4 linked regions of the Tamandua tetradactyla genome follow. The protein of the gene in region 1 purifies or fractionates together with the protein of each later gene. This does not show direct contact. Links are inferred from orthologs where the notes say so. Each region holds a gene or a part of one and is shown in the gene's direction. Other genes may lie near its edges.

The links.
Region 2: the proteins of SLX4 (region 1) and RTEL1 purify together in Homo sapiens (affinity purification with mass spectrometry; 3 studies listed by BioGRID, with this or other methods). This does not show direct contact. The link is inferred for Tamandua tetradactyla from reciprocal best matches to the Homo sapiens genes SLX4 and RTEL1.
Region 3: the proteins of SLX4 (region 1) and PGAM5 purify together in Homo sapiens (affinity purification with mass spectrometry; 4 studies listed by BioGRID and IntAct, with this or other methods). This does not show direct contact. The link is inferred for Tamandua tetradactyla from reciprocal best matches to the Homo sapiens genes SLX4 and PGAM5.
Region 4: the proteins of SLX4 (region 1) and TOPBP1 purify together in Homo sapiens (affinity purification with mass spectrometry; 3 studies listed by BioGRID, with this or other methods). This does not show direct contact. The link is inferred for Tamandua tetradactyla from reciprocal best matches to the Homo sapiens genes SLX4 and TOPBP1.

Annotation. Positions count from the first base shown.
Region 1 is NC_135349.1:53,706,591-53,713,809, forward strand, and holds the start of SLX4 (structure-specific endonuclease subunit SLX4), read left to right. Parts: upstream 1-4,208; 5' UTR 4,209-4,317; intron 4,318-4,323; exon of another isoform or gene 4,324-4,514; intron 4,515-4,557; exon of another isoform or gene 4,558-4,663; intron 4,664-4,741; exon of another isoform or gene 4,742-5,141; intron 5,142-5,178; exon of another isoform or gene 5,179-5,418; intron 5,419-6,332; 5' UTR 6,333-6,719; coding exon 6,720-7,053; intron 7,054-7,219. UniProt on the Homo sapiens protein: Regulatory subunit that interacts with and increases the activity of different structure-specific endonucleases.
Region 2 is NC_135327.1:61,106,686-61,113,726, forward strand, and holds the start of RTEL1 (regulator of telomere elongation helicase 1), read left to right. Parts: upstream 1-4,039; 5' UTR 4,040-4,269; intron 4,270-5,015; 5' UTR 5,016-5,150; coding exon 5,151-5,252; intron 5,253-6,292; coding exon 6,293-6,488; intron 6,489-6,870; coding exon 6,871-6,964; intron 6,965-7,041. UniProt on the Homo sapiens protein: A probable ATP-dependent DNA helicase implicated in telomere-length regulation, DNA repair and the maintenance of genomic stability. Acts as an anti-recombinase to counteract toxic recombination and limit crossover during meiosis.
Region 3 is NC_135331.1:1,082,966-1,090,336, reverse strand, and holds the start of PGAM5 (serine/threonine-protein phosphatase PGAM5, mitochondrial), read left to right. Parts: upstream 1-4,353; 5' UTR 4,354-4,369; coding exon 4,370-4,560; intron 4,561-6,232; coding exon 6,233-6,411; intron 6,412-7,371. UniProt on the Homo sapiens protein: Mitochondrial serine/threonine phosphatase that dephosphorylates various substrates and thus plays a role in different biological processes including cellular senescence or mitophagy. Modulates cellular senescence by regulating mitochondrial dynamics.
Region 4 is NC_135341.1:77,439,790-77,447,759, reverse strand, and holds the start of TOPBP1 (DNA topoisomerase 2-binding protein 1), read left to right. Parts: upstream 1-4,954; 5' UTR 4,955-5,104; intron 5,105-5,684; exon of another isoform or gene 5,685-5,708; 5' UTR 5,709-5,715; coding exon 5,716-5,799; intron 5,800-7,727; coding exon 7,728-7,862; intron 7,863-7,970. UniProt on the Homo sapiens protein: Scaffold protein that acts as a key protein-protein adapter in DNA replication and DNA repair. Composed of multiple BRCT domains, which specifically recognize and bind phosphorylated proteins, bringing proteins together into functional combinations.

The DNA of each region.
Region 1 (7,219 bases):
AAATCTCTGAGAGTCTAGGGAACTGGGGGCCAAAAGGGAGAAGAGCTTTTTTTATTTTTCTGATGTTCCTGAAAAACTTTTTTTTTTTTAACAATGTGCTTGTATTACCTTTTCCAAAACAAAAGGTAAAACGATAAAACAAACATACTCTTTAACCCCGCAATCCTATGTTTGGGACTCTTTCCCATAGAAATAAATACAAATACACACAATATATGTACAAGACGTTTATTGCAGCCCTATCTATAGTGACAAAAACTATAAAGGATACCAAATTTTTATCAGTAAGGGAATACTTGAATGAATGTGGAATATAACATAGCTTTCTCTCTAATGATTTTGAGAAATGTTCATGATATGTAAGAAAAACAAAATACAGAATGTGAATAGTATGACTCCATTTTTGTAAAAGCATACCTAACAGAAAAAGTTTATATTCTTATAAGAAAATACAGATAGAAGTGAAAAGATATACATCAAACATAACACCGGATACCTCTGAGAGGGGGGAATAAAACAAGGTGGAAGGAGGCGATTCATTTTCTTTTGAAGTACTTTATTTTTTAAATAAAAGGCCATTACTATAATCATTAAAAATAAGCATATTGTAAGAGCGAAGGCATGGATTTTTAATTTTATTTTTGGCTTACCTATTATTATTTATAATTTGTTCAAACAGCTTTTTTGATATACTTAAGATACCATAAAAGTCACCCTTTTAAAAAAGTGTTTAATTCTATGGTTTTTAGTATATTTATAGAATCGTACATGGATTGCTTAACATTTTAAAAGGTGCTGTTGCAAAAAGTAAGAAAATGTACCCAGAAGGCCTTAAACCATTCTAAATAAGATCTTTCCAAAGTCTAATAGAAAAAATTCTTTTTTAAATTGTGGTAAAATACACAAAACATAAACTTGACTATTTTAAAGCATACAATTCAGTGTCATTCAGTAGTTGCAATTGCCTAACTATCACCACTATCTAATTCCCAAACACTTTCATCACCCCAAAAGGAAACCCATATCCATTACGGCAATCACGCCTACTCTACCCTCCCCCTAGGCCCTGGCTTTCTGTCTCTATGGATTTGCCTATTCTGGATATTTCATATAAATGGAATCATAATATGTGGTGTTTTCTGTCTGGGTTCTTTCACTTAAATTTCTCAAGATTCATCCATGTGGTCGCATGTTATCAGAACTTCATTCTTTTTTATGGTTGAATCTATAGATATGGGATCCCTTGCAATCCCATATGAATTTTAGGATCAGCTTTGCCGTTTTAGTACAAAGAGCTGTTGGATTTTTAATAGTGACTGCACTGAATCTCTAGTCCATTTTGGGGAATATTGCCATCTTAACAAGATGGAACAGTTTAACATCAAAATTATGAGTACCATTATCAATACTAGGGGAAAAGCTGTTTTGCAGCTGAGGCCAGTACATCTGCATGGAATCCCCTTAAAACCATCTAGCAAAACTCCTAAGTAGAACTTCATACAAAGGGTGTTACTGGTAGAAGATACTGAGTTATGCAGCATAATCTAGAATACTTTTTGTACACCGTGACATGTAAAAACAGTTATTTCCCCTCCTGTTTTCAAGAACGTTGGCAGTGCAGGAAATGGGATTACTGTACAGTAAATAAATGAGTTTATATGACCACAGACCTGAAAAGACAATTCTTCCTTTTTTCAATCTGTCCTCTATTCCCAATCGCTGCCAAGATAAATGAGAGGGAGCTGGGCAGGTTTTGTTTTTATGATTTACAAGCTACCCAAAGAACTGGGAAAAGGGCCTTTCATTTCTTTCTCGGAACAGTTTTAAACATTAACTCAGTGGAATATGTAAAGAGCTTCCAAAAAGGCAATACTCCAGGAGGGTAAGGAAGTGATAATCACAGCATATATATTCAACCTCTGCCTGCTTTCCCTGGACCCCAAAATGATCTATTCATAAGGGCTCGGAAAAAGAATCTCTCCTTGGTATTAACACTCTTTACAGTGTGCAAAAATTTTTCCACACATTTCTGCATCCTTTTTCTCTTTCTGACAAATATTTAAGGTTTATAAATAACGAGGATAATCCCAATCTTTTAAAATATGAAATGTTCCATCCTCTCCTTGGCTTCAGTGTTTTGGCAGCTCTGCGGGTTTCTGCCTCACATGCTGGCAGAAAATATATAGTAGCATTCCCTCTGAACTAACATGGTTCAAGTAATGCTGCTTCTGGAACATGTCCCTCAGCTTAGTCACACTGGGTGACTTGTGCCTAATTCCAGGGGAAAAGCATGAAATCCAGAGCTTCTGCTGGAGATAAATCACAACAGGAGGTTCATATGGCTCACCTTGGGTCAAACAGAAAGCTGCCCCAGTTACTGAATAACTTTGCTCCTTGAAGGGGGGAATCATGAATCACATCTAGCTCTACATTGCAATTACTCCTCACCCCCTTTAAGCATCTCGTCGCATCTCTTCTATACTTAGCCCACAGAATTTGCTCAGCAGATGTTGGTTAAACATCTAGATGTTGGTTAAACATCTAGATTCTTAATCTAGAGGCCATGAGAATCATCTGTGAAACTTTCAAAAGACACAGGTTGTAAACTTTCCCCCAAGATTTAACCAGCAGAGCTAAGAGTAGTGTCCAAGTGTTTCCAATTAAACCACAAAAACATGGGCCAGTCAGTTGAGAATCTCAGGTTTAAGGAATATGCCCCTCTCTAAACTATATCTTTAACTCATTTTGCTTAAAAAACAACACGGCCAGATTTTGGGGGGTGAGGAGTGCTGGGTGAGCAAGGAAGCTTTCTTCATTGTACCTCTAAGAGATTTAAGTACTAATTTGGAGTCAGATCCCTCATTTTCTTTGACTGGAAAAAATAATCTACACCTTTACAGTTGTCCTCTGTATCGTCCCAGTCCATGTCTCTGCACTGTCTACTTAACTATTCCGTATGGAAACCACATTACAAACTGATAAGTTACCAGACAACAGAGTACACCACCTAGCTCCAAGCAGAAAAAGTTCTTGCCAATTCTATTAGCATTTGAAACTCAACACTCAAAAGTAAATTTTAATACAAGTCAGCAAGTCTACTCTAAGGTGTATGCTCAAAGGAAAAACACAGAAACTTCCACGCCAATTGTCCAGTGCAGCATTATTCCTAATGGCCAAAATGCGGAAACAGCGAGACCCAAACGCCATCAACAGATGAATAAAGAGTTGTGGTTACACAACTCTGAATATACCAAAACCACTTAAATGAACACTTTAAAAAGGTGAAAGTTATGGTATATAAAAAAACATATTTAAAAAACCCCACAAAACCCAAAACGTAGTATCTTTCCTCCAAACCTACTCCTGTGTTCATTTTGTTGACTGGGCCTACCCAGATGCTCAGGTCAGAAACCTACAAATTGTAAGAGATAATCAGGTCATGACAATTCTACCACCTTAATACTCTTCCATTCTCTCCACTCCCCTACAGTCTAACCCCTAAATCAGGTCGCTCTTACTTTTCACTTAGGTTAGGGCGCTTCCCAATGGGTCTTCATGCCTTGGGTCCCCCAAATGTTTTTTTTTTTTTGGGTGCATGGGCCAGGAATAGAACCCGAATCTCCCGGGTTGCAGGCGAGCATTTTACCACTGAACCACACCTGCATCCCTCCCAAATCGTTTTCACGCTGTGACCAGAACATCCTTTAAAAACAGTATCTTTAACGACACCCAGCGACCCGTCCGGTTGCAGTTCAAACCCGTAAAACGAATTTCAGCCCCTGACGAACCTCTACAGCTTCATCTTTCCTTCAAATTCTTGACAATTTTCGTACCAGCCAGACTGATGAGTTTGGATATCACCTTCAGGTCTCAGTTCACGTGCTACCCCCACCCCCAATCCACCTGGGATCCCTTCAGACCGCGTTCGGCGCCTCTTCACATCCCCTCACTGCATTTCCTCCTGTTTGCTCCTCAAGGAAAGGAGCTCCGAAGGGGCCCCACTGAAGCCCCAAACATCTTCTACGTGAACTGTGGTAGAACCAAACTTGAGCTTAAAACTGCAACAACGCCCCAAAACTCACCCAGCTTTTCCCTCAACACACAACAACACCATCAAGGATCGGCGGTCACAGACTCTGTCGGAAACTCAGCCCCGCGCAGCCGGAAACACAATCCCGCGCGCCCGTGGCCGCAAAGGACGATGGGAAGCTGACACCACCCCGCGCCTGCAGAAACAGGACTCTCCGCGAGGGCGCCAGGCGGCGCATGCGCAGGCGCGTGGCTCTCCGTTGAGAAGCGCCGCCGCGGTGCACGGAAGTAGGAGGGGCTGGGCTGTGGGGCTGGGACCTGCACCCGGGAGGAGGAGGCGCTGTCACCTCGGGCCCCGCTTGCGTCCTGAGGGAGAGGCGTCTTTCTCTCTACCTCCCTGGCCTCGGCGGGCCCGCAGCCGCGGTGGAGAGGCCGGAGTGCCGTTCGGGCGGCGAGGGGTCGGGACCCGCCAGGAGGAAGAGAGGGTAGGTGCACCCGGACACCTCCCGCGGCCGCAGCCCGAGGGTCTTCCTGGCGTCCGGAGGGTTCACCGCGATCGGAATTCTCCGTCTGGCTCTACAGCCGTCAGGGTCTTTGGCAGTCCTTCCCCAGGCCGATCCCCCGGCCTCCCTCCGTATGTCGCCGGGCTGATGGTGGAAGGGGAGGGGGTGGGTCCACCGGGTACTCGTCCCTGCATTCGTTCATCCGCGCGCGCGGTGGGCCAGACGCCGCGGGAGCTCCTCAGCTGGGTAGGAGATGGTCCCGACCCTCTGGAAGCCTCCAGTCTCTCGGGAACCGTTAACGTCTTACAGCAAATATTGACTGAGCTCATATAGGAGATGGATTGTTTTAAGACGAGTATCTGCAGAGGTGCGAAGACTCGGTGCAGCTGTAAAGGAGGTGGAATGGGCTCTAACCCTCTCCTACAGCCGACGCGCTAGAATTCAGTTTGCTTAGCCTGTCATTCCAGTCCCTTGTGAGCTGATCCCTGCTTCTCCCTGCACTTTCTCTTGGCTCCGGTTATGCCAAACTCTTTGCAGTTAATTCATTCAAGAAATCCTTGTCGCGCACTTATTACATGTATCAGCCAAAGGGAAAACAAAATAAGATGGGTGAGTCTGCCCTCTTGACGTTCTCAGTTCAGTGGGACAGATAATAAGTAAATGAATAAGAATGTAAGAACAGGTGCTCTGGAAGCAGCCTCCACAGGCTTAATCCCGGCCCTGTCACTTAAAAGCTCTGTGAATTTGAGCCAGTTATTCATTCTTTTTTTGGACCTGTGTCTTTGCTGTAAAGGAGGGATGGCAAGAGATTCTGCCTTCTAGGATCGTTGTAAGGACTAAAATTGTTAAAGACTTCTAAAGCAATTGGAATGATGTCTGGCACACGGTGAGCATTCATAAATGTTATCAGTTACACATGTCTATAACTCGTGGTAAATGCTGTGGAGAAAACAGTGTGTGATGGTGGGAGGTGGAGGGGATCCACTTAGATAAAGAATTAGGAGAAACTTCTTTAAGGAGGTGACATCGAAGATAAGAATGAGCCAGCTATGCAGAGTAACTCTGGGTATATTTGTCTGCTCAGCTCTGGAAAACTAAATGATTGTGTTACTTGGACAGTGGAGATTGCATTATTGTATTTGAAATTAAGAATTTTTTACCATTGGATCATTTGAGTTTGATTTTTGAGCCCCACTAAACTACCAAAGTAAATAATCTTACTCATTTGCACCACCTCTGCATTGAGCAGCATTCTCATCTTTTGAGTTGGGGAAGCCCTTGCTGGGCTGAGAGGATGGAGAAAAGTGGCATCTTTTTTGTTGGAAAAAATTGGTTTTATCACTTCTCCTTCCTGTGTTCCTACTGTTTGCTTTCTCCTGAGAGTTCAAGTGCTTATTCTTTCTCTAATATTTCAATGTCAGCCAATAGAGCCTCTAAAGCCAGGGGCCTTAGATCAGCATAGGAGATCGTTTTTTCTGGATTTGGGGACCATCTTGTTTCTGGGGTGACTGCTCTTCATGGGGTTCATTTCCAAAATTTTTGTAAAAATAATACTCTTTGATGACCCATGTGTTATTCTGCCTGTGGAAGAATATGCTATGACAGGTTCCCAGATCTTTCTCTGTTGTACTATGATATCCCGTAGGATGATTAGCCTGTTAACCAGTCTATACCTGAGTATTTGATGGTGTATTAGTATCTGAAGACTTTTCCCATATCCCATATGTACCTTCCTGAGAGAAATAACATCAAATTGCAGTAGCTGTCTAATTACAAATAGATGCTTTTGGTTTTCCACAGATATGAAATTCAGTGGGCCAAGCCTTCCTCATCACCGTGGCGATAGTGGAGAATCATCTGAGCACCAAGTTTGTATCTATTCTGTCTCAGAGACATCTAAAGGACAACAAGACATTCTCTCAAATATGAATTTTAACAAAGGGAAGTTTAAAACATGTTTAACCATGGGCCCAATTTGAAGAAAGACATTCTAAATTATGATGGAGGGGAAAGCAGCATTTCTTGCTCAATTGTGCAGACTCTCGGTGAAAAGTAGAGAGGAACCCTAATGAAGCTGTGAGTCTGGAGGAGGCCTGGTACTTGGGTTCACTTTCTCATCTGTGTATATGCAACCCAGATCAGTTCTCTCTCCCCTGGAACTAGCCTGAAAGCCTTAAAACTGGTCACATGATGGATGAGTCTGATGATGATTTTAAAGAACTCTGTGCCAGCTTTTTCCAAAGGGTGAAAAAGAATGGAAACAAGGAAGTATCAGAAGAAAAAAAGACACAAAAGGCCTCAAATAGCACTCAGACGAGAAGCAAACTGAAAAGGTCCCAACAAACTACCAAGAAGGAGACTCTGCAAGGCCCCAAGGAGAAGAAACCTCGGTCTGGCAGCCGGCCTCCGCAGACTAAAAGGCCAAGGGCCACCAAGTTACAAGAAAGGGCAGCAGCTCCCATTGCGAATGGGGAGAGAGATGTGCTTGCTCCTGCGGGGGATCAGCACAGCACCCAGACAGGTAACTGGGCCGGAGCCACTGCCAAACATTTCCAGAGAGGAAACCAAAGTGACCTCTATGACTTTAAACCAGGGGTTGAAAAACTTTCTGAAAAGAGCCAGGAAGTAAATATTTTCAAAGTTTGGGGACCATATGGTCTCTGTCACAACTATTCAACTCTGCAGAG
Region 2 (7,041 bases), on another chromosome or scaffold:
GCTGGTCCAGCTGGTCCAGACTTGGGTATGCTGTGTATCTGGTCACTATCGTGGCCCCAGGAGCTGTTCTGTACTGTTTCTGGTTATTTAGTAGTTGGTGTGGAGGACGAACTAAAATGTGCACGTTGTTAAGCCGCCATCTTGACCTGGAAGATCCAAGGAACTGAATTTTGCGAGGAGCAAGAGTGAGCCTGGAAGTAGACTCCTCCCTAGAGCTTCCAGGCAAGAATGCAGCCCAGCTAACATCTTAATTTAGGCCTTGGGATGATGCTCTGAGCTGGCTCCAGACCTACAGAACTGTGAGCGGACACACAGGTAATGTTTTAAGCTGCTAAAGGGGTAGCTACTGGCTATGCAGCCATAGTACACATATTGACCCCAAGTCCCCCAACCCGCCCTGGGCACTGAGCTTGGGAAAGAGCCAAGAGGCAGAAGACACACACAGATCTGTTTATCCCGTGGTGTGTATCATGGGGGAAGTGACCTGTGTCCTCCGTAAAGGGCTGCCAGCCACTGCGGTGTCCACGGAGACTGTCCCAGCATCATGTGCTGGGATCAGGACACCTCCAGAGTCTTCCTGTGTGGGCGTGCAGTGGGAAACTCCTGCGACTTTGGGCACGTCCTCTTGCAGTCCCTGCTTCCTCATCTGGACCACAGGAAGCCCAGGCATAGTGCCAGACATATGGTGGGTGTACATAGTAGGTATACACTGAATGCTTGCCCAATACAATGCCAAGTCTTGGAGCAGATTCTTACTTCCTGCCAAGGTCGACTGTAGGAAATTTGTGAGCAGCTGTTCAAAGATGTTCCCCAGGAATGACTCTTTGTAGGTCAGGTTTCTACCTGTATTAGGGTTCTCTAGAGAAACAGAATCAACAGGGAACACTCACAAATATAAAATTTATAAGTGTCTCATGTGACCACAGGAACGCAGAGTCCAAAATCTTCAGGGCAGGCTGTGAAGCTGATGACTCCAATGGAGGGTCTGGATGAACTCCATAGGAGAGGCTCGCCAGCTGAAGCAGGAAGAGCCTGTCTCTTCTGAATCCTCCTTAAAAGGCTTCCAGTGATCACATTAAGCATTACTCATTGCAGAAGACACTCCCCTTTGGCTGATTACAAATGGAATCAGCTATGGATGCATTTGGCATGATCATGATTTAATTCTATGAAATAGCCTCATAGCAACAGACTTGTCCAACCAGACAAACAGGTACCACCACCTGACCAAGCTGACACATGACAGTCCACCCCTTGTCAACTTGGCAGCTATACATACCACCCTAAACCATACCTAATTTCTAAATAAAAAACAATAAAACATACATTTTTTCTTTCACCTAACAATACTCAACTGTCTTGCAAATAAATGGAAACACATTAAATCTCTCCAGAATAGGGTGGGCTAGGAAGTGTGCCTAAAGCCGAAGGATAAATGACTTTCAGACTTTGAAATCAATGGTGTTTGCCCTGATGGTTTTCCTTCCAGTTTCTCCCTATGGATCCTGTGACTGTCCTCCTTTTGCATATTGGCACCAGATAACTTGTTTTGAGATTCATAGGTCCACAGCTAGAAGAGAATTTTTTGCACCTTAATATTGTTTAAGGTGATGCGTATAGTTGCCAAGTTGACAATGGGTGGACATGTGCTAGTTAGATTCAGTTGTCAACTTGGCCAGGTGAAGGTGCCTAGTTATGTTCCTGTGGACATGAGCCAATGATACGTGAACCTCATCTGTTGCTCATTACATCTGTAGTCAGCGAAGAGGCATGCCTGCTGTAGTGAATGATGTTTGATTTAATAGGCTGGTGCTTAAATGAGAGAGCTCAATGTAGCACAGCCCAAGCAGCTCAGCATACCTCATCTCAGCACTTGCAGCTCAGCCCAGGCCTTTGGAGATGCAGAAAGAAAATACCCCGGGAAAAGTTTTTGGAACCCAGAGGCCTGGAGAGAAGGCCAGCAGAGATCACCCTGAGTCTTCCCACGTAAGAAAGAACCTCAGATGAAAGTTAGCTGCCTTTCCTCTGAAAAACTAATGAAATAAATCCCCTTTTATTAAAAGCCAATCCATCTCTGGTGTGCTGCATTCCGGCAGCTAGCAAACTAGAACACTACCTGAGCTCCTGAAACTAAGCCTAGCACCTCCCAGGAAGACCCTGCACTTGGCTGGTCACCTGATCATTCAGCCAGTGAGCACCTGCTATGTGCTGGGCTGGGAAAACATCAGCAAATAGCCACATATCACCTCTTCAGAGGCTTTCTGTGACTTCATTCCAAACAGTACCTGCCCCTTCTCACTCTCAGTCCCCTAACCCTGTGTCATTGTTCATGCAAGCACCTATGAACCCCAATATGTTGTGTTGTCTGCTTACTGCCCACCACCCACATGACCAGCAAGGTGCCCCCCACCTTCTGGTCCTCCACACTCACTAGATCAGGTGCAGTGAAGCGTGAAGGAGGACCTGGACCTCCCACAGGGCAGCTGGTGTCTCAGGAGGCAGTCCTTGGGGCCCGGCCAGGATGGGAAGCAGCAGTCCCTGATAATCCCAGGCCAGGGCAAAAGCTCCTAGGGCCACTGGCAGCCAACAGACCCCAGACCTGCTGCAGACTTTCCCCTGCCTGGTCTTCATCAGGCACCTTCCACGACAGTCACATTTCACCCTGATGATCCTCCTCTTGGCCGGGCAGTCCCTCTATGGCTCTTAGTGTCTGCTTCTGCAACTCTCAGTCACCTCTTGGGCTTTCCTTGGGCTCTGCAACATTGGAGTGCCTCTCCCTTGTTCACCACTGACTCCTCCCCAGTGCCAGCAACACTGCCCCAGGCCAGCATCGATTCCCAGGAAGCCTTCCCTGGCCTACAGATAAGGTTAAGCCCCCCCGCCATGGTACTCATCCCAAAGGGTCGCACAATCATGGAGTGACTGGTTAACATCGGTCCTGCTGGCCAGAGGGCACCCTGTGTGCTCAGGGAGCTCCCCAGAGCCTGCAGAGTAAGTGGCTTGCCAAGCGAAGCTGGCTCTGGTCTGCTTTGGTTTTCCCTATACCTCATCTCTCAGGTTTAGTTAGGTTTAGTAAAATGGCATTTATGCATTTCATCCCAGGAGGCTGCAGGCTGCTTGGGGTCCCCATGGAGCCAGAGGAACCCCCTCGTGACCTGTACAGCATCTACTCAGGAGCTTGGGGCCCTCAGCTCTGGGAAGCGGCCAAGTCTCTGGAGGAGGCCTCCCTTCCTGGACTTCTGGGGAATGGAAGCAACTGCTCTTGGAATAGGGGGGAGCCAAGGGGAGAGGTGGGAGTCTGGCTCCTCAAATTGCTAGTTGCTGGCTTTGGGGACCTGCTAACTGTGCGTGCTTCCTCACCTGTAAGAGGTTCTTGGGAGGAGGAATACCAATGCCTAAGTGGATGGCCCTGAAGCCAGGTTCTGGTGCCTGATGAGCATTATCTTTTCCAAGCTCCCTTCTGAGATTCCATGATCGACAATCCCAAGTCCCTTCACCCAAACAGGCCAGCTGGGGTGGATACCAGGGCTTCCCCAGACATGATGACACACGTGGGATCTGCAGGAGAGTCTCTGGACGCTCAGTAGCACCCACCAGAAGTTCTGATTAGTGTTTCCAGCTTGCCAGAGCTCTCGCTGCGGCATTAGTCTTTCTGGTGCCTTTTGGGGTGGTCTGAGACAAACATCTCTGGTGGCAACAGCCGAGCAGAGAGCACATTCCACCAACTGTGTAGACCCCTCTCCCCCTGGGGAGGGGGGGCGTCCCTCCCGTTCACTCCAGCGCACACTAGGTGCTGAGGATCACCGGGGGCCTGGCATTGACAGTAGGGGAGGCTGCCTGCAGGAATGACAGGAGCTGCTGAGGCTCTCAGGGGCCTGGTTACAGGCCTGGGCCGCCACAATTGCCCTCCATGACGCCCTCACACTCCAAGAGGGGAAAACCTGGCAATGGGGTGGCTTGTCCCCTGCGGGGGGGTGGCGGAAGAAGCCATGGTGGGAGGTGACATCGAGGGAGGAGACCGTGGAGCACTGTTTCTGCCTGTCCCGGTCGCGGAGCTCAGGACCAGCGAAGACGGCGCGACGCCGGGTCGCTCACATCACAGACGGATCCTGCGGCTCGGGGAACGGTTTCCGCCGAGAGCATTTCGCAACGGACCGGAAATGAGGGCGGAAATACAGCGCTTCAGTGACTGCGCATCTTAGCCCGCCAAGTCCGAACTTGCTGATAGCCGAGAACGTGGTGGCGGCGTTCGCACCGGAGCTGGGTGAGGTACTGGAGCCTCTCGGGCCGCGCGCCGCGGACACCCTGGAACCGAACCGAGCGCTTGTCGGCGGGTTGGGTTTCCGAAACTGTATCTCCCCGCAGGGCCTGGCCCTCGGGATCGCGGGCAGGCGGCCTTATGGGGCCGGTAGTTTTCCTGCGCTCGTCGGTTCACCGGGCCGTACGTTTCCTTCCCTGGAGGGAAAATCTGCTGTTCCGAGTTTAGGCGTCTGCTCTGTTATTCCCAGTTTCTAGACGAGTCCGAGCGTAGAGAAGTTGAGCGACTCGTCCAGGGTCACACAGATTTGAGTCCCGGGTCAGAGTACAGGTGGCTACCGCGCAGCAAAGGTAGCAGACTGCTGGGGAGACGCTGGAGCAGGAGGGTCAGACGCTCCACCCTGCCTGTCTCCCGGCCCTGGTAGGGGAGGGCGCTGCTAGGTCCTCAGCCTCCCCCACACTTGTGGAAGTGAGTGAATTATTGCTGATGGGGCAAGTTGGTAGAGTTGAGCCCGACTTGGGCTCTCACCATCCCAGTGAGACTGGCCACCTGTTCCAAAGCGGAATGGAGTTCTGTGTGGCCGGGGCTGACTCAACTTAGCATCATCACTTCTGAAACTCCTTGTGATGGTATATAACAGGGCCTGCCCTCTGACCTTCTCCATGGGGAGGCACTTCTTGGGATGACTGACACAGTAGCCTGGTACCCAGAAAGGCTGTTTATAAACAGTCTTGTTGTCCCTATGTCTGTGCCATAGGGATTCCTGTGAAGAACGTGTGTCCCAGCTCCAGGTGCTGGCATCGCTTACCTGAGATTTTCAGGAGTGTTTTGTCTCACACACCTGAACAGTCTGCATTGCAGCCAACCTCTGCTCTCCTGAGAACAGGCTGGTATGCCCAAGATAACCTTGAACGGTGTGACAGTGGATTTCCCATTCCAGCCGTACAAATGTCAACAGGAATACATGGCCAAGGTCCTGGAATGTCTACAGAAGGTAAAAGCCATGAGCCCTACAGACACTGGGCCCAGGGGATGGGTCAGCTTCAATAAAGGCCTGCTGAAGTTCTACCTTCCACTTTGTTCAGACTAGGTCCTGCTGTGTGGAAGGTACTGTCCTGGACATTGGGGACCCGGTTGTAAATAGGGCCTGTGTTCTAGTTGGGGTAGAAGAGATGATAAGTAAAGAAAAAGGGACTGTCTTGTGTTGATAAGTGCAGTGAACACAAAAAACAAGGTGATATGTTTGAGTGACTCAGGCCCTCTCTGAGGAAAAGGCTTGAGCCGAGGCGCATGGTGGGAAGCAGCCAGCCATCCAGAGATCTGGAGGAAGAGCCAGAGAGGGAAACAGTGTCAGTCCTCACTTTGGGAGGCCTTTAAAACTTGTATGTGTTCAGGAAGGTGAAGAAGACAGGTTTGCTTTCTTCTTGGTTTCTCAGTCTGTCTCTTGTACCCTGCTTGGCTTCCCCCAGCCGCTAGGGACTGGTTCTGCAATCAGCAACACCTGTGACTGGTTCACATGTGACCCATGGGCTCCTGAGTGCTGTGTGTGCGCAGTCTTCTGTAATGAGGAGCCCAAGTTCCATTCTCGTGGCAGCTGGGAGCTCAGCTTTTGCAGAAATTGCCTTCATGTCCCCCTAAGTTTCCTGATTGGACTCTAACCTGAGAGCTTGTATGTAGGCCATCAGAATCAGATTCCTTTCAGATAGGGGAGTGCAAATACCAGAATCACAGAACTATTTCCTATTTTGAGAGTTGGCACCTAATTAGTCATCTTCCTATTTATATTAGGTTGAAAAATACTGTCACATTTTGGATAATGCTCTGAAAATTGTCTGCTAATGAGGGCTGAATCAGCTTAGGCTTTTGGAATGAGAGTAGAAAATGTAAGATGGACTTCGCCATGTTGCCAGGGGTCTTTTGCTGCCCACAGAGCCACTCGCAGAGCTTGTCTCAGGCTGGTGTGCATGGCTCACAGGGTCTCTTTGGTCTCCCCTCCCCCTCCCTCTCCATAACATCATCCCTGTCCCTTCTCAGAAAGTCAGCGGCATTCTGGAGAGCCCCACAGGCACAGGGAAGACGCTGTGCCTCCTCTGCACCACATTGGCCTGGCGGGAGCATCTCCGAGACACCATCTCTGCCCACAAGATTGCTGAGAGGGTTCAGGGAGAGCTATTTCCTGATCCAGCCTTTTCGTCTTGGGGGAGTTCCACCGCCAGTGGAGAGACCATAGGTGATGCTTCTTCCCAGGCCCTCTCTCAGACTGCCATGTGGGGATGGAAAGGGGAAGAATGGAGTCTGGGTTGGGTGAGGCCCCTGGCTTCTGCAGTCCCTTGAGCAGAGCCACGCATAGAAGATTTCGTAGGTGCCACATCATATCTCGCCATCCAGGGGTAAATGTTGGGTCAGAGGTTTTTGCTGAGTTAGGATAGTACAGAAATCCATATATACTGTTTCTGGAGAATAATTATCTGGGGTAAAAGAGTCCTAGTGTTTGCAGGACTGAGTTAGCCAGATGCCCCTGTGGCAAGCAAACACTCAGGACATCTACTCAGAGTTTTGTGGTCCCATCACTGACTGACCACAACCTGTTGTGCCTCTTTGTGCCTGGGCAGCTTGCTACACGGACATCCCAAAGATCATTTATGCCTCCAGGACCCACTCGCAGCTCACGCAGGTCATCAGCGAGCTTCGAAACACCTCTTACCGGTGGGTGAGGAGGCCACTCACACCTGCCTCAGGGTTTTCAGGAGAGTGGACTCAGCCCAGTGACACAAGTGGCCCAA
Region 3 (7,371 bases), on another chromosome or scaffold:
CTCCCAGCCAGCAGTATTGAATGGGGATTAAAGGACATGGCTTTTCCAGGATCCACCACAGATTCAAACTGGCACAGAGTTGCTATCTCATTGTCTTCTTGATTTGCATTTCCCTCATAGCTAGTGAAAATGAGCATCTTTTCATGTGCTTTTCAGCCATTTGTATTTGTTCTTCAGAAAAGTATCTATTCATATCCTCTGTTGATTTCATAACTGGGTTCTTTGTTGTTGAACTGTATAATTTTTTATGTACACAGGATTTCAAGCCTTCAGCCAATATGTGGTTTCCAAATATTTTCTCCCATTGAGTTGGCTGCCTCTTCTTTTTGACAAAGTCCTTTGAAGCACAGAAGCTTTTATGTTAAGGAGTTCCCATTTATCTATTTTTTTCTTTTGCTACTTATGCTTTAGATGTAAAATTTAAGAAGCTACCTCCTGTTACTAAATCTTCTAAAAAATATTTTTATTGATAAATCTTCACACACATTTTATATATATGGTGTACAATCAGTGGCTCACAATATCATCACATAGTTTTGTATTCATCACCATGATAATGTTTTTAGAATATTTTCATCACTCCAGAGATAGAAATAAAAAGAAAAATGAAAAAACTCCCTTACCCCTTCGTCTTATTGACCACTAGTATTTCCATCTACCCACTTTATTATACCCTATGTCCCCCCATTATTTGTTCATTTTATAGCCATATTTTTTTTACTCATCTGTCCATACCCTGGATAAAAGGAGCATCAGACACAGGTTTTCACACAGTCATATTGTAAAAGTTATATCTTTATACAATAGTCTTCAAGAATCAAGGCTAGTGGAACACACAGCTCAACAGTTTCAGGTACTTCCCTCCCACCACTCCAATATACCATATATTAAAAAGGGAAATCTATATAATGTGTAAGAATAACCTCCAAGATACCCTCTTGAGTCTGTTTGAAATCTCTCAGCCACTGAAACTTTATTTTGTCTCATTTTCTCTCTTCCCCTTTTTGGTCAAGAAGGCTTTCTCAATCCCTTGATGCCGGGTCCTAACTCATCCTGGGATTTCTGCCCCATGTTGCCAGGGAGATTTATACCCCTGGAAGTCATGTCCCATGTAGCGGGGAGGGCAGTGAGTTCTCTCTAAGTCAAATGCTGAGTTGGCTTAGAGGGAAAGGCCACACCTCAGCAACAAAAGAGGTTCTCTGGGCATGACACTTAGGCCTAATTTTAAGTAGGCTTACTAGCTTTTCCTTTTCAGGAATAAGTTTCATGGGGCTGAACCCCAAGATTGAAGGCTTAGCCTATTGATTTGGTTGTCTCCACTGCTTGCAAGAATATCAGAAATTGTCCAAATGGAGAAATTGAATATTTCCTCCTTTCTCCCCAGTCCCCCAAGGGGACCTTGCAAATACTTCTTATTTTTTAAAAATATTTTTATAGCCAAATCTTCACAAACATACAGTTCATACATAGTATACAATCAGTGGCTCACAATATCATGACATAATTGTGTATTCTTCACCATAATCATTTTTTAATGAAACATAACCACATACAAACACAAACATTCTTATCATATGATCATTCCATTCTGGTTATATAATCAATAACTCACAAAATCATCACATAGTTGTATATTCATCATTATGATCATTTCTCAGAACGTTGAAAATACTTCTTGATCCACTTCCCAAATTACTCTGGGATGTATCAGGGCATCACACTAACCTGTAGAAACAAACAAGAGCTCATGCCCTATTCAAGATTCAATGTACTTATGGTGTTCAACTAAACTGACCATACAAGTTAAATTAGGAAATGCACTACCCAAAATATAAATTTCGCACCAAATAAACAGCTCTCCCCTTGTTCTCACACAGAAGTTGAAGTTTTAAAATATAGATGATATCATCCTTTACCTTGTATTCTAAACTACCTTAGTATCTTCATATCATTCATATATCTACTCAAAATTAGATCCCTTTTTCAACTTTTTAAAACAGTTCCTGTATCGGAACTGCTGACTTCCATAGCTTCAGAGCTCTAACTCTGAGTCTCAGATGTCACATAAATAGGATTTCTTCAAATGGCTGACTTTTGATTGTCAATTCATATTTAGTCAAATATTAATCTCCACATGCAGGGGCTGCATTTGTTAAATGGTGGGCTTCAGTTTTGTCCAGGATCACCCATTGCCAATCATTAAGGTCTTTTCTCTTTCACTGTTCAGTTTCTCCAGAGAAGAAGTTTCTAATTTCTGCTTGGGGGAAGGTAGTGGTGGAGCATGGTGTAAGACTAATGGCCCAAATCCTTAGGGACAACTGGAGGAAAGGGATTGGAGGTCCTACTATTCAGTACGTGAATTTCACATAATCCCATTTGTTCTAGTTTGTAAGCTGTTGGAATGTGATATAGTAGAAATGCAACAGCTTTAGAAAGAGGGATTCTGTAAAGTTGCAAGTTCACAGTTCTAAGGCCATGAAAATATCTAAATTAAGGTGTGCAGGGAAAGACGCCTTGGTTCAGCTTTCTCTCTCAGCCGGAAAGGCAACTGGTAAATGTGGCCACATCTGCTAGCCTTCTCTCCAGGCTTCTCGAGTCATGAAGCTCCCTTTAACTCCAAAGGTCTCTGGCTGCGTGGGCTGTTAAAGCTTTTTCCAAAATGATTGCCTCAAGCAAGCACCTTGAATGGGTAGAGACACATCTCTGTGGAAACCATCTAATCAAAAATTACCACCCACGATTGGGTGGGTCACATCTCCATGGAAATGATCAGAAAGATCCCACTCAGCAATACTGAATGAGGACTAAAGGACATGGTTTTTCCTGGATCTACAAGAGATTCAAACTGGCACACCATCTTTATTTCTGTACTCCATCTTCTGCTAATGTCTGGTGTCCTCAAATCTGGAGTCCTTCTGGCTCAAGTCCTCTGGAATGAACAGTGTAGATGAGGTTTTCACCTTAAGTACCAGCGAAGAAAAGGGTGTGGAGGGCAGCTGGCTCCTTGCAGATGTCCAGCTGGTACTCCTGCTTTTATTTCCACCCCCCACCCCCCTCCTCAAAGGTACCAGGGCTTCTAATTCCTGAGTCTTTTCAGGAACCACTGGACTAAATGAGCTTGCTTCTTGGCTTACCTCTGGGTAAGCAGGTGTTCAGTTTTCTCAGGTCAATAAAATTCTGCTTTTCTACTTCAAAATTTGTTCACAGCAATCTCTGGTATTGCCTGGTCTTGTGGATTTTTCTTTGTTCTTATGGATTTAAGTGTTTATTTACTTTACTGTCCTTTTAGTAGTGTTTCTGGAGGGGGTAGATATAAATGTATGGGTTTAATACATCATCTTCAGCAGAGGCCTGGGTAATTCCGTGGGATTGAAGTAGGGAAGATTCCAAACAACACCCAAGAAAGCACCAGAGCCTCTGAGAAGTGGATAAAACTTTTATTGCCCTAGCAGTCTCAGAGGACTCCTGTCCAAAGTTTGAGCGCCGAATAGTCTTTGTTTCCAGATTTATAGGCTAGTGAGCAGGGTGGGAGTTACTAAGGTAACGGGCCGTAAACACTGGAAAAGTACAGAAACAGAACTTGCAGGGGAGAACAGCAGAGCTCTTCTGGCTGATACCGGCAGCTCCTGGATGTGACAAGAACAGGTCTAGCAGACATCCTGTTTTGCACGCCACTATCTTCGGATATGCTTAAGCCTGGACGTCATTAGCAGCACAGCAGACATCTGTTTTTCTTCCTTCGAGAAAGCTTGCATTTATATATATTTATAAATGCAAAAATTTATAGAGTGATGCACACAAATATACAGAGTAATACACATTAAATGCATAAAGTGATACACATGCATGCATAAAGTTACACAATACTGACGTTAAACTTGTAAACTACCTCAGGATGAGTTCATTCTCCAAAACCAGAGTGATTTAAAAAAAAAAAAAAGGCCGATCTTGTCTCGTCCCAAGTTGAAAGCCAGCAGAGGTCCCCGTTCACTTAAACTAAACCCCGCGGTACCGGAGCAGGCCCGGCCGCTGCGGCTTCGCCCTCACCCTCCTTCCTCCCCTCAGGACACGGCTCAAGGGCCGCCCCGGCAGCCCTGCCTGCGTCTGGCCCACCACCCCCACGTCTCATCGCTCAGTCTGCTCCGCCTCTCTGGTCCAGCAGCGCCGGGCGCCGGGTACCGGCCACGGGCCTCCCGCAGAAAGTTCCGAGAGGGTCTCGGTGAAGCGAGCAGGGCGAGGCCGCCTCTTCCCGCCGCCGGAAGCCGCCGGCGCCGGGCGGAAGCGAACGTCGGGGAGAAGCGTGTCCCTCGCGGTGCGCCGTCGGCGCCGGTGAGCGCATGCGCGGCGCTCTGCGCGGGAGCGGGTCGGCATGGCGTTCCGGCAGGCGCTGAAGCTGGCGGCCTGCGGGCTGGCCGGGGGCTCGGCTGCCGTGCTCTTCTCGGCCGTAGCTGTGGGGAAGCCCCGCGGGGGCGGAGACGCGGGGCCACGCGCCCCTGAGCCTCCGGGTTGGGCCGTAGGAGTGCGGCCCGGGCCCGGGGTCTGGGATCCCAACTGGGACAGGTGCGCCGCCCGGGGAAGGGGGATGGGGCCGTTCTCCGGGGAAAGGGGCAGGGGCGGCCTCTGGATGGGTCTTGGGGGAAGGGGGGGAGGGGTCCGAAGCGCGGAGAGCGTCCGCGCGGAGGGAGCCGGCCTGTTGCCGGGCGGCGTTCTCTTCCTCAGGTGGGAGCGGTTGCCTCGTGCCCCCGGCCCAGGTGTCTTACGGTTTATGTTGTCAGCTTCAGGAAAGGGAGGGCAGCACGCAGCCTGAGTGATTTTGGGCGACCCTCAGCTTTCGCGTGTGTACAGGGTCCTTGTTTCAAGCAGTTGGTGAAACTAGGAGAGCGCGGCACCTCACCATTCCCCGAGGGGTTAGTTTTAGTCTAGGACAGAGGCTCAGAACACTGGAAGGCTGACACCCTTGTTGTTTTCAACTTTTTTTATCTGGGAATTGGCCCGATGTGTTGACAGCTAAGAGAAAGAGTTGGACGTCCGAGTCCTAAGATAGATTGCATGCTGGGGCAGTGAGTGATCTGACCCTAAAGGGGGACTCTGCAGAGGGATTTGTGTGAATCAACCTCCTGTTTGTGGGACGATGTGGCTAGCAGGTCTTGTGAGTTGAAACACGAGTCTCTGGGCTCAGGGTCTGGTGTCGCAGCCGCTGTTCTCGCAGCCGCTGGTCTCGTGCTTTTGGGCACTTAAAATGTGATCATTGTGATTTAGGAACATATTTTTAATTTTATTTAAATTTGAAAACCAAAGGAGTACCCAAAAAACGTCAATATTGATTATATATTGGAATGATAATGTTTTTGTTATATTGGGTTAAATAAAATATTACTGAAACTTCACCAATTTCTTTCTTTCTGTTTTTTTTAATACATGGGCAGGCACCGGGAATCAAACCCGGGTCTCTGGTATGGCAGGCGAGAGCTTTGCCACTGAGCCACTGTGGCCTACCCTCACCCATTTGTATTTACTTTTCATATGTATCTATTAGAAAATAAAATAGTATTTGTGTTGCTGACATATTTTTACTGGATGGAGCTTGGCCAAGGGGCAAGGGTGGCTGGTGTGGAATGGTTTACCCAGTTCCTCTCCTCACATTTGGTACTTCAGTCCCAGGCACAGGAGTATTGTTTATTGTGAGTACAGTTTTGACAGGAATTTTGATATCTTTTCAAAAAAAATTTTCTTTTTACCTTTAACTGTAAACTATTTTAGAACAGTTATAAATTGAGAGAAAAAATGGAAAGGTAGTACAGTTTCCATAGATCCATACCTAGTTTCCTCACTATACTCCTTCATAATACCTGGTTTCATTTTCTCTGTATCATTTATTGGTTACTGACATTGTTTTTTTTTTGGGCAGCCATCTGTCTCTCCTTCTTGGAACCCAGATTGCCTGTGCATACACTTGTCTGTTTTGTTCACTGTGTGAACGGTTCCTGGAACAGACCTGGTTCTCACTCTGTGGGATGAGTGACTTGTGCACTGAGAGGCTGGGTTCCCTGGTGATGATGGCAAGGCCCCTAATGAGTGACGGAGGCCATGACCTCTTCCCATGCACGCTGAAGTCTGAAAGATTGCTCTTCCCAATTAGTCTGACAATTTGGAAGTAACATGTGGTTGAAAATAATCGAAGGTGTGTTGTAACCAGGGGTCATGGGGACAAAGCAGTCTATTTTAATATTAGGCGAGAACCACTGTCTCTCATCAACCTGCGGAAAAGAAACCTGGAATCTGGAGAAGAAGAACTGGCGTCCAGACTGGACCACTGCAAAGCCAAGGCCACACGACACATCTTCCTCATCAGGCACTCCCAGTACCACGTGGATGGCTCCCTGGAGAAGGACCGCACTCTGACCCTGCTGGGTATGTGGTGGGGGTTTCACGAGCCTCCTGATCCCCTCTGGTCCACCTCTTAGTGGTGCCCGTGAATCTGTGTTGCAGACTCACATGCCTTAATTAGCAGTGGAGCCTCGCTGTGACCCAGGATGTACCTTTTAAAATGTCCTTTAACCCAAGAAAAAGATTGATAGATTTTACCTGAATGTGGTCAGATTCATTGCACACGTGAGCGCAGTGTGTTCTTCCCTTTATGCTCTCAAGAGCATAACCTATCCTGTTTTTTGTTTTTTTTACTTAATATGCTGAAGAACCTTCTATTCAGATCTTACACATCTGTCTGTTTATGGTGTTTAGCTGTATAAAATCTAACCAGTCCCCACTGTAGGTGTATTGACGTCTTTTTTTTAAATATAGTTTTATGTATTTTTAAATGAGAGAAGTTGTACTTTAACTGAAAAATCATGTGCGTTCACATATAATCCTCCCATTATTAACACTTTGCATTAGTGTGGTACTTTTGTTACAATTGATGAAAGAATATTATAATTGTACTATTAACAACGGTCCATAGTTTACTTTAGGTTGTATTCCCCCCCCAATATACACCCTGTTATTAACACTTTGCTTAAGTGTGATACATTTGTTATAATTCGTGAAGAAATATTTTAATAATTGTACTATTAACTATAATCCATTGTTTACAATAGAGTTGACTGAATTGTACAGGCCTATGCTTTCTTTTATCTTTTAATTTTTATTCTGGTAATGTATATGACTTAAAATTTTCACTTTTTTAATGTAATTTTATTGAGATATTCACATGCCATAAATTCATCCAAAGTATACAATCAGTGGCTTACAATATCATCACATAGTTGTACATTCAACACCATGATCAATTTTAAGACATTTTTATTACTCTAGAAAAAGAAATAAAATGAAATAGAAAACCCAAAGTATTCCCTACCCCTTATCCCCCGCCCG
Region 4 (7,970 bases), on another chromosome or scaffold:
TAACTCAGTCACATGACTCCCGCAAGATGTAAGGGATGGAAAATAACATCTCTGGCTGAGCAGCTAATTCTTAGCAACAACACTATAGTACAATAGAGGATCAGAAAAAGAAAATAAATAAAGCTACATACAAAAAATAAATAAATAAATAACAACAAAAAAGGGGGGTGATCAGAAATCTTGGGTCTTCTGTCTTAACTTGGATTCCTCAGAAGCAGACTCTTAGATGAGGCATTTTAAGTGTTATATTTGGAAACCAAAAAAAAAAAAAAAAGGTAAATAGAGTAGAGAAATAAAACAGGGAAAGGAAGGTGTTTTGGTCGATTTCATGTATCAGCTTGGGTAGGTTACGGTGTGTAATTCTTTGATCAAGCAAGCACTGGCCTGACTGTTACTGTGCAGATATCCTGTGGATTTAAATCATTAGTTGTGTCTATGGCTGATTACATCTATAATCAACAAAGGAGATTTCCTTCAGCAATGAGAGGAGTCTCATCCAATCACTTGAAGGCTTCAACGGGAGAACTGAGGATTTCAGCAGTCAGAAAAAAGAATTTCTATTACTAATTCAGCCAGCCAGCCTCTCCTGGGAAATTCATGGTTACCTTCAACGGAGTTCCCAACTTGTGGCCTGCCCTAAGAAAGTTGGACTTGCCAAACCCCATGGTCATGTGAGCCAATTCCTATAATAGATCTCTTAATATTATATATATATCTGTTTCGTTTTTCAGGAGAACTCTGTGTAATACAGAGGGCATCAAAAGGGTGTATTAACATGTCATTTGCCACTGTAGGAAACTGGAGCTGAATGCCACTGGGGAAACTCTGGGAGTCACAGTAGAACGCACACCAGAGTAGAATATCCCACCGATAGGGTTTACAACATTGGGGAGTTTACTCTTTTGGGGGGCTGTATGACTTCTGCATCTACTTCCTGCTGTGCAAGCTTAAAGGTTGTATCACAGTTGAGTACTCCAGGTTTCCTTGGCAAAGCAGTTATCTCAAAATCTTAGTAACCTTCAAATCCATTTGCTTCTAGTTAGCTTTGCTTTGTAGTTGTCAAACTCACAAGACAAGGTCAGGGCAAAGCCTGACTGATTTGATGCGTAAAGATGTAATGAGCCACTTACAGATTTAGACCGTAGATTACTTACACAGATAGTGAAAATAAGAATAAGCCCAAAGTGCCAGGGCTCTGGATTCTTGTCCTAGACACCAAAAGGGATGACACCAAAACAAAAGGGGTTGATTAACTACAGTGTAAGTTGTGGGATACTCCATGCTGAGGAGCCAAATCTGGACAGTAGCTAAGTGGTTTGATATTCTGCTGTTCTAGTCTGGGGGTGGGGTGGGCAAGCAGACCCTTATCCCAGCAGAACCTGGGAGGTGACGAGAAACTCATGACAGCCTTCGAGGGAGATATGGAGACAAGTGGGAGATGGTATTGTAGCAGTTCCTTAAGAAACTTTCCATCTTCTCGTGTTCTAGCAGGATCACAAAATGTTCTGCCAAGACTGAAATAAACTGCCATTCAAGCCTTTGCCTACAAGGATATGTGCAAAACCACCAGGACATCATGGCAGGGCTGGGCCTATATCTTTGCAGCCACACCCACATCATATCTTTCTTAGACACAACTCTCAAGTCTGCTTTCTATTCTTGGCCCCATAACTCCTTCTCTCACTTAATCTACTGGAGTGAAAGGACCACACTCTATATTTTTATTGAGACATTTTCACAACATACAGTCTATCCAAAGTATACAATCAATGACTCACAGAATCATCACATACTTGTGCATTCATCATCATGATCATTTTAAGAACATTTGCATCACTCCAGAAAAAGAAATAAAAAGTCAAAATAAAAAAACCCATATATGCCTTACTTCTTCCTCTCACTACCACTAGTGTTGTAATCTACCCAATTTGTTTTTAACCCCTTATCCCCCCCATTATATATATATATATTTTAGCTCACCTGAAGGACCACACTCTTAATTAGATCTTTTCCACATGCATGGATCTTAATGGACCTTTGCCACTCAAAACCTCTCTCAGATATATCTCTTGTTTTTATGGTTCACGTGAAGTTAGCTTTTCCAACCTTGAAAACCCCTTCTATTTTTGTTTGAAAACAGGATAATTCTTCCCTGAGTTTTCTCTATCTTATAATACTTTATTAAACACAGCCAGTAGTATCCAAATGTGCCGCTGACATTGTAATTTTCTCCTCTTTCGAGACCTTAGCAGCTCAGTAAGCCTATATTCTCTCTTCCCGGTTACTGAAATCAAACGTTTAGACAAATGTTTTGCCATTGCATTTCTGCAGCAATAAAGACCTTTTGCTATTTTCATATTTAAATTATACATTTATTTATGCATATATGTTTATTCATTCACAGAACTGGAAATTGAGACATAAAGTCATATCATTCAAAACATCTATTTTTAGTTTTTTTTTTCTCATTTTGAGAAATCTTTTCTATGCAGCAAGGTATAACAAGAAGTAAAAACTCATATTTCCACTACCCATATTTTAAAAGTCACAATTTTGTCACATTTGTTTCCTAGGCTTTTCATTCTAAACACAGATCAATATAAAATTCCCCTTACTCCATCTCAAACTGTATATGGCACATCTGGCTGCAGGTGACAGCAGTGCCAGAGAAACAGGGTTCGTTGGGCAGGTGAGGGGAAAGTTAATCTCCAATTCTAGCTCCTGAGGTGGCTGCCTGAGAGCACATCACAAACATTCCTCATTCATGGACCACAACTCACATACCCACTCACCCTTCTCCAAAGAATTGCTGTTGAAGCAAACTTTAATGGGCATCGGAATCTCCGGGGCAGGTCTTGTTAAACCACAGATCACTGGGCCCTCCCTGCAGCTTCTGACTTAGTCAGTCCCCCAAATTTTTGTTTTTCCGACAAGTTTCCAGGTGATGCTGATGCAGGTGATCACTCTTGGAGAACCACTGCCTACATTTCACTTGCTTATCCTTGTCCTCATTTGCGGACGCACATGCCCCTTAACTTAGGAAAGTAGTTTTCAAATCACACACCTTTGAAGGTAGGGGACAAGGAAGTAGGGGATAGGGGAGGGCCACGGATGCCAGCAGGACACCGAGTCCCCCCTCCCTACCAGAACTGGTTTTGTTTTTGTCTGTAAGATTTTCTTTGAACTGTTCGCAAATCAGTGTTCTGCCTTTTTGCCAGTGAACGTTTTTAGACCATATAGTAGTGCATCATTCTCCCGTTTCTATGACTGCCTTAAATTAGTTAGATCTTTTAAATAATCTGGGATCCTAAGATGGTCTAATTATCTTTCATTGATGCTATCTCAATAAAATTACAAGTTTCTGGAAAAAAAAAAAGAGAACTTGTCAGTAGGTGGCGGTCTCCTATTGTAAAGACCAGGTTGACTCCCCCTGCTATGGAATTCCAGTTTGCTAAAAGCTGAGGGGTTGCTTTTATTTTCCTCCTCATCTCCAGCATCTAGAATTCCCTCCTCCGTGAGGCTTCCACTTAGTCCCATAAATGCCAGAAATGGGCTTCTGTGGGCTGCTGACCTTTGTACTGAGATGGGCAGGCAGCATGGAACCCAGAGCAGTGTGGTGGATTGGGAAGGATTTCCAGTCACGCTACCTGCTCTCAAGACTGGGTGCTGCCACTCCCTGGTTGTGTGGCCTTGGACAAGTCACACAGCCTAAGCCTTGGATTTCCCATCTACATAATGTGGGACAGTAATGCCCACATACTGTAGGATTGCTGAAAAGAGCAAATGGAAACAGCGCAAGCAGAAGCCTCTGTCATCTGTAAAATGCCCTACAAATGTTAACTGTTATCATAGCTATATGACAGATGTGCATCTTAACAAGTAACTATGGCTTCTCTCCCCTCACTCCCCCGGCTTTAGTAATTTTTGTTTTTAAGGCTCTCCTCAACCATGGACCTTTACCTTTGAGCCCCAAGATACTGACTCTCACTCACCTTCTGTGGGTGTATTCACACATTTGGACCTAAGTGCCTCACTGTTTCTAAAACGAAAAACAAACTTAACTAAACTAAGCACATGACATTAAAATCTCACACTACTAGATCCAAAGTTATGATCTTCTCTATTTCAATAGTCAAGAATAAAATAAGAACTAGCACTAGCTAAGCAGTTTTTCACTGGTTATGCATGGGCTTAGATTCTAAAAGTCCAATTTCTTTCCTTTTCTGCTCTTTTCCATTTTACCATTAGGTTCCATCACAGAACCTCCCCAACAATCAGGCAGGTGCAAAAACAAAGGGACAGCCTTGGAAGGGGGCAGAGTCCATCGAAGAGCTTGGCAAACCTTCCCACCCATGCATTCACTGTGTAATCCAAGTCATTTTGCCATCTTTCCTGCTTTCAGAGCCCTAAGAGGTGATTTACTCCTGCTATGTTGGAGGAGAAAAAGCCTAATCAAAAAGACTTGGATCCAGTCCTTACCTTAGCTGCGTGACCTTGGACACATCAGATAACTTCTATAAGCCTCATTTTGTTACATCTGTAAAATGGAGATGCCACTATCTGGCTCACAAAGTCGTTTTGCATGGTAATGCATGGTTTCTCGAGCACTGCCTCCCTACGGTAGGTGTAAACTAAATGTCTATTGGGAAAACACTCCTTTTCCCCCGCTAACGCTCCAAAAGCTCTCGTGAGCCCCATCCCCTGAATCCTGGGCGCTCGGCCAACCCTGAGTGACGCCCCGCTCAGTCCCGCACAGCCCTCAATCCGGGAGCCTCGCTCCAATCCTCCGGGTAAATCCTTGGCCGCCGGGCACAGCGCCCCACCTCGGCTGCGCGCCGTAACTACTTCACTTTCTACGTCTCCCGCCTTCCTGTAGCAGCGGCTGGTCGGGTCACTTCCGCCGGAAGAGGCGGTCGCACAGCCGCGGTTGGCGCGAAAGTCGGTTCACTGTCCGGCAATTTCCGGGTTCTCCGGCGTTTCCTCCGGGTTGGGGGCGCCGCGGGGTGGGGTGGCTGAGCCCCGGGGTGGCGCCCGACCCCCGCCGCTGTCCTGCCGGCCGCGCGCCTCCCCACTCCTTTCTTGAAGGCCCCCAGGCTCCATCGAGGTGAGTGCGGCGTTGAGTAAGGATCTGGCTCCTTCCTGCCCCCAACCAGGGGTCCCAACGCGCCCTGGGGCCTGCGGGGCCTTCCTTTCTTGCGGGTCCAACCGGCCCTCGAATCGGCGGGTGGGACTTTGACGCCGAGAGGACGTGACTGCGGCTGGACGGGAGTCAGGCCTTTCCCTAAAAGCAGGGACGCGGATTTTCTGGCTTTTTGATCTTGCTGTTTGGCTTCCCTGTTCATATGGAAAAATCCGTTTTTGATGGAGGGGTAAACAATCCTTGAGGGTCGTGGTATCCTCTGAGGATCTTTAAGCTGTGTGCAATCGGATGTCATTTGCTGAGGGGACTTAGAGCCCTCACAGCAAGGGCCCTTCCTCGAAGCATTCAGTTTGGGGATCTTAGCTTCGTTTTCTGAATTGCTAGGATTGGTGTCATCTTTTTCCTTGATTTTACCCAAATTCCTTACAAACGTGCAGGACAAATATATAGGAAGGCCAGAATGGCTATCCTTAGGAACTCTTGTTTGCACAGAAACATAGGTGTTCTAAAATTTTAATTTCACATGTGATGTGTTTTGTTCTAGTTAATGATTCCTTTATTTCGGCAGTTCAAAAATGTCCAGAAATGACAAAGAACCGTTTTTTGTGAAGTTTTTAAAATCTCCAGACAATTCCGAATGTTTTTTTAAAGCTCTTGAGGTAAGAATAGTTGAAAATGTCTTGTTTGACGCTGTGAATTAATTTTCTTGTTTTTAGTACTTTTGATTTATTGGGCTCTTTTTGCCTTAGTAATAGATGTTTCATAATAGTTCTACCATAGCCTCCATGAAATGTAGAGATTATTGTTACCTATTTTTTAATTGCTATAGATAGGTATATCATTGTGTATTTTGGAGGGCTTGAAACTATTATGACATTTCTCTTGGATGTGGCTGACTTGCAGTTTTTGGAAATCAAGTTACCTTCTGTCTCCTAACCAATGGTCCTTGTGTGTGGAAAAGCATTCATTCAATTTTGTATTGGTTACACATCAGCATTTTTTTGTTTAATTGTTAAATGCATGCTTCATTATGTACAGCATAACATAGGGTGTACAGGTGGTGTGGAGCCTCGGTGCTCACAGACTCCAGAAGCATCAGCGTGGCCTGGGAGTTAGAAATGAAAACTCTCTGTTCCCACTGCAGACTTAGAAATTAGAATCTGCATTTAAACAAGATCATCTGTGTGATTCCTGTGGACATTAAATTTTGAGAAACACTGATGTAGCAGGTTTTTCCTTATAGTTCATTCATTCATCAAATATTTACGGAGTGTGTGTGATTTGCAGGCCCTGTTGTAGTGCTTGGTATACATCCGTGATCAGAGCAGGCAAAGATCCCTGTTTTCTCAGAGCTTACATTCTAGCAGGAGATTCTAAGTTTTATGGAAAGAGGGGGAAAAAATCACAACAGGTTAGCCAATTCCAAAAGATGTTTGTTAGGGGGAAGGAGAACGGAAAGTTAGGATTTTAAATAGTGTGATTAGAGTAGGTTGTATGGAGCAGGTGATGCTTGAGTAAACTTGAAGGTGGTGCGATAGTTATGTGATATTTGAGAAAGAAGGTTTCAGGCAAGGAGACAACCAGTGCAAAGGCCCATGGGAAGATATATGGGCTTGAAGTATCTGTTTAAGGAATAGTAAGAAGGTTAGTGTGGTTATAGGGAGTGAACGGGAGTAGGGAAAGTATATTAAAGGATACTTCTGAGAGTAAGGGCGAAGAGGCCTTGTAGGGCCTTGTGGGCTGTTGTGAGGACTTTGGCTTTTCTCTCAGTAGAGTGGAGAGCCACTAGGGGGTTTTAATCAGAAGAATAACATGATCTGATTTATCATTTTAAAAGGATCACTCTAAGTATTTAACATAAGGACTTCGAAACTTGTTGAGAAAATATTGAGTGCTTCTTGGGTGCTAGGATATATTGGCAAATAAGATGGATCATGAAATTTTTGTTCTTAGGGGGATGAGAGGCAAAAAATTATATACATAGTGTCCATCTTATTTGTTTCATAAAACAGACCAAAGACATGAGGGAATGATGTTAGAAAGCACGGTCAAGAAAGACATCTCTGAGGAGGTGACATTTGATCAGAGTCCTAGCTTCAATGAGGGATCAAACCAGTCAAAAAGCATTACAGGCAGCAGGAACAAGAGCAAAGCCTCTAAATGAGATTGTACTTAGCTTGTTTCAGTTTCATCTAGAAAGCTGGACTGGCTAGAATTAGCAAGAAGGGAAACAGGTAGAAAGTGAGGTTGGGGAGACAAATGGGCCAGATTGGTCTCATAGACTGTTATTCTGAGTCTGGTGGGAAGCCATTGGAGGATTTTGAGCAGAGTGATATGATCTTGTTTGTTTTTTAAAAAATATTACTAGCTGCTATATGGAGAATTGATTTAGGGCAAGGAAAGGAGAGGGAGACCACTAGGGAGGCTACTGCAGAGGTCTAGGTGAGGTGATGATAGTGTACAAGTAGGGTGGCAACAATTAAGGTGCAGAGAGGCTGGATTTGAGATGGCTTTTAAAGACAGAGTTGATAGGACTTAAATACAGGTGACTAATTTCAGGTGCATTCATATTTTATTTTTCTTTCAGTCAATAAAAGAGTTCCAATCAGAAGAATATCTTCAGATTATTACAGAAGAAGAGGCATTGACTATAAAGGAGAATGATAGATCGCTTTATATCTGTGACCCGTTTAGTGGTTCTGTCTTTGATCATCTCAGAAAGGTTTGCTAATATCTAGTGTTTTCTTTGTTTGTCTGCTATTTTTGTTTGTTTTTGCTTCAGTGAACGTAAATTATTTAGTGGTCATGATATATTATACAAATTATTAAT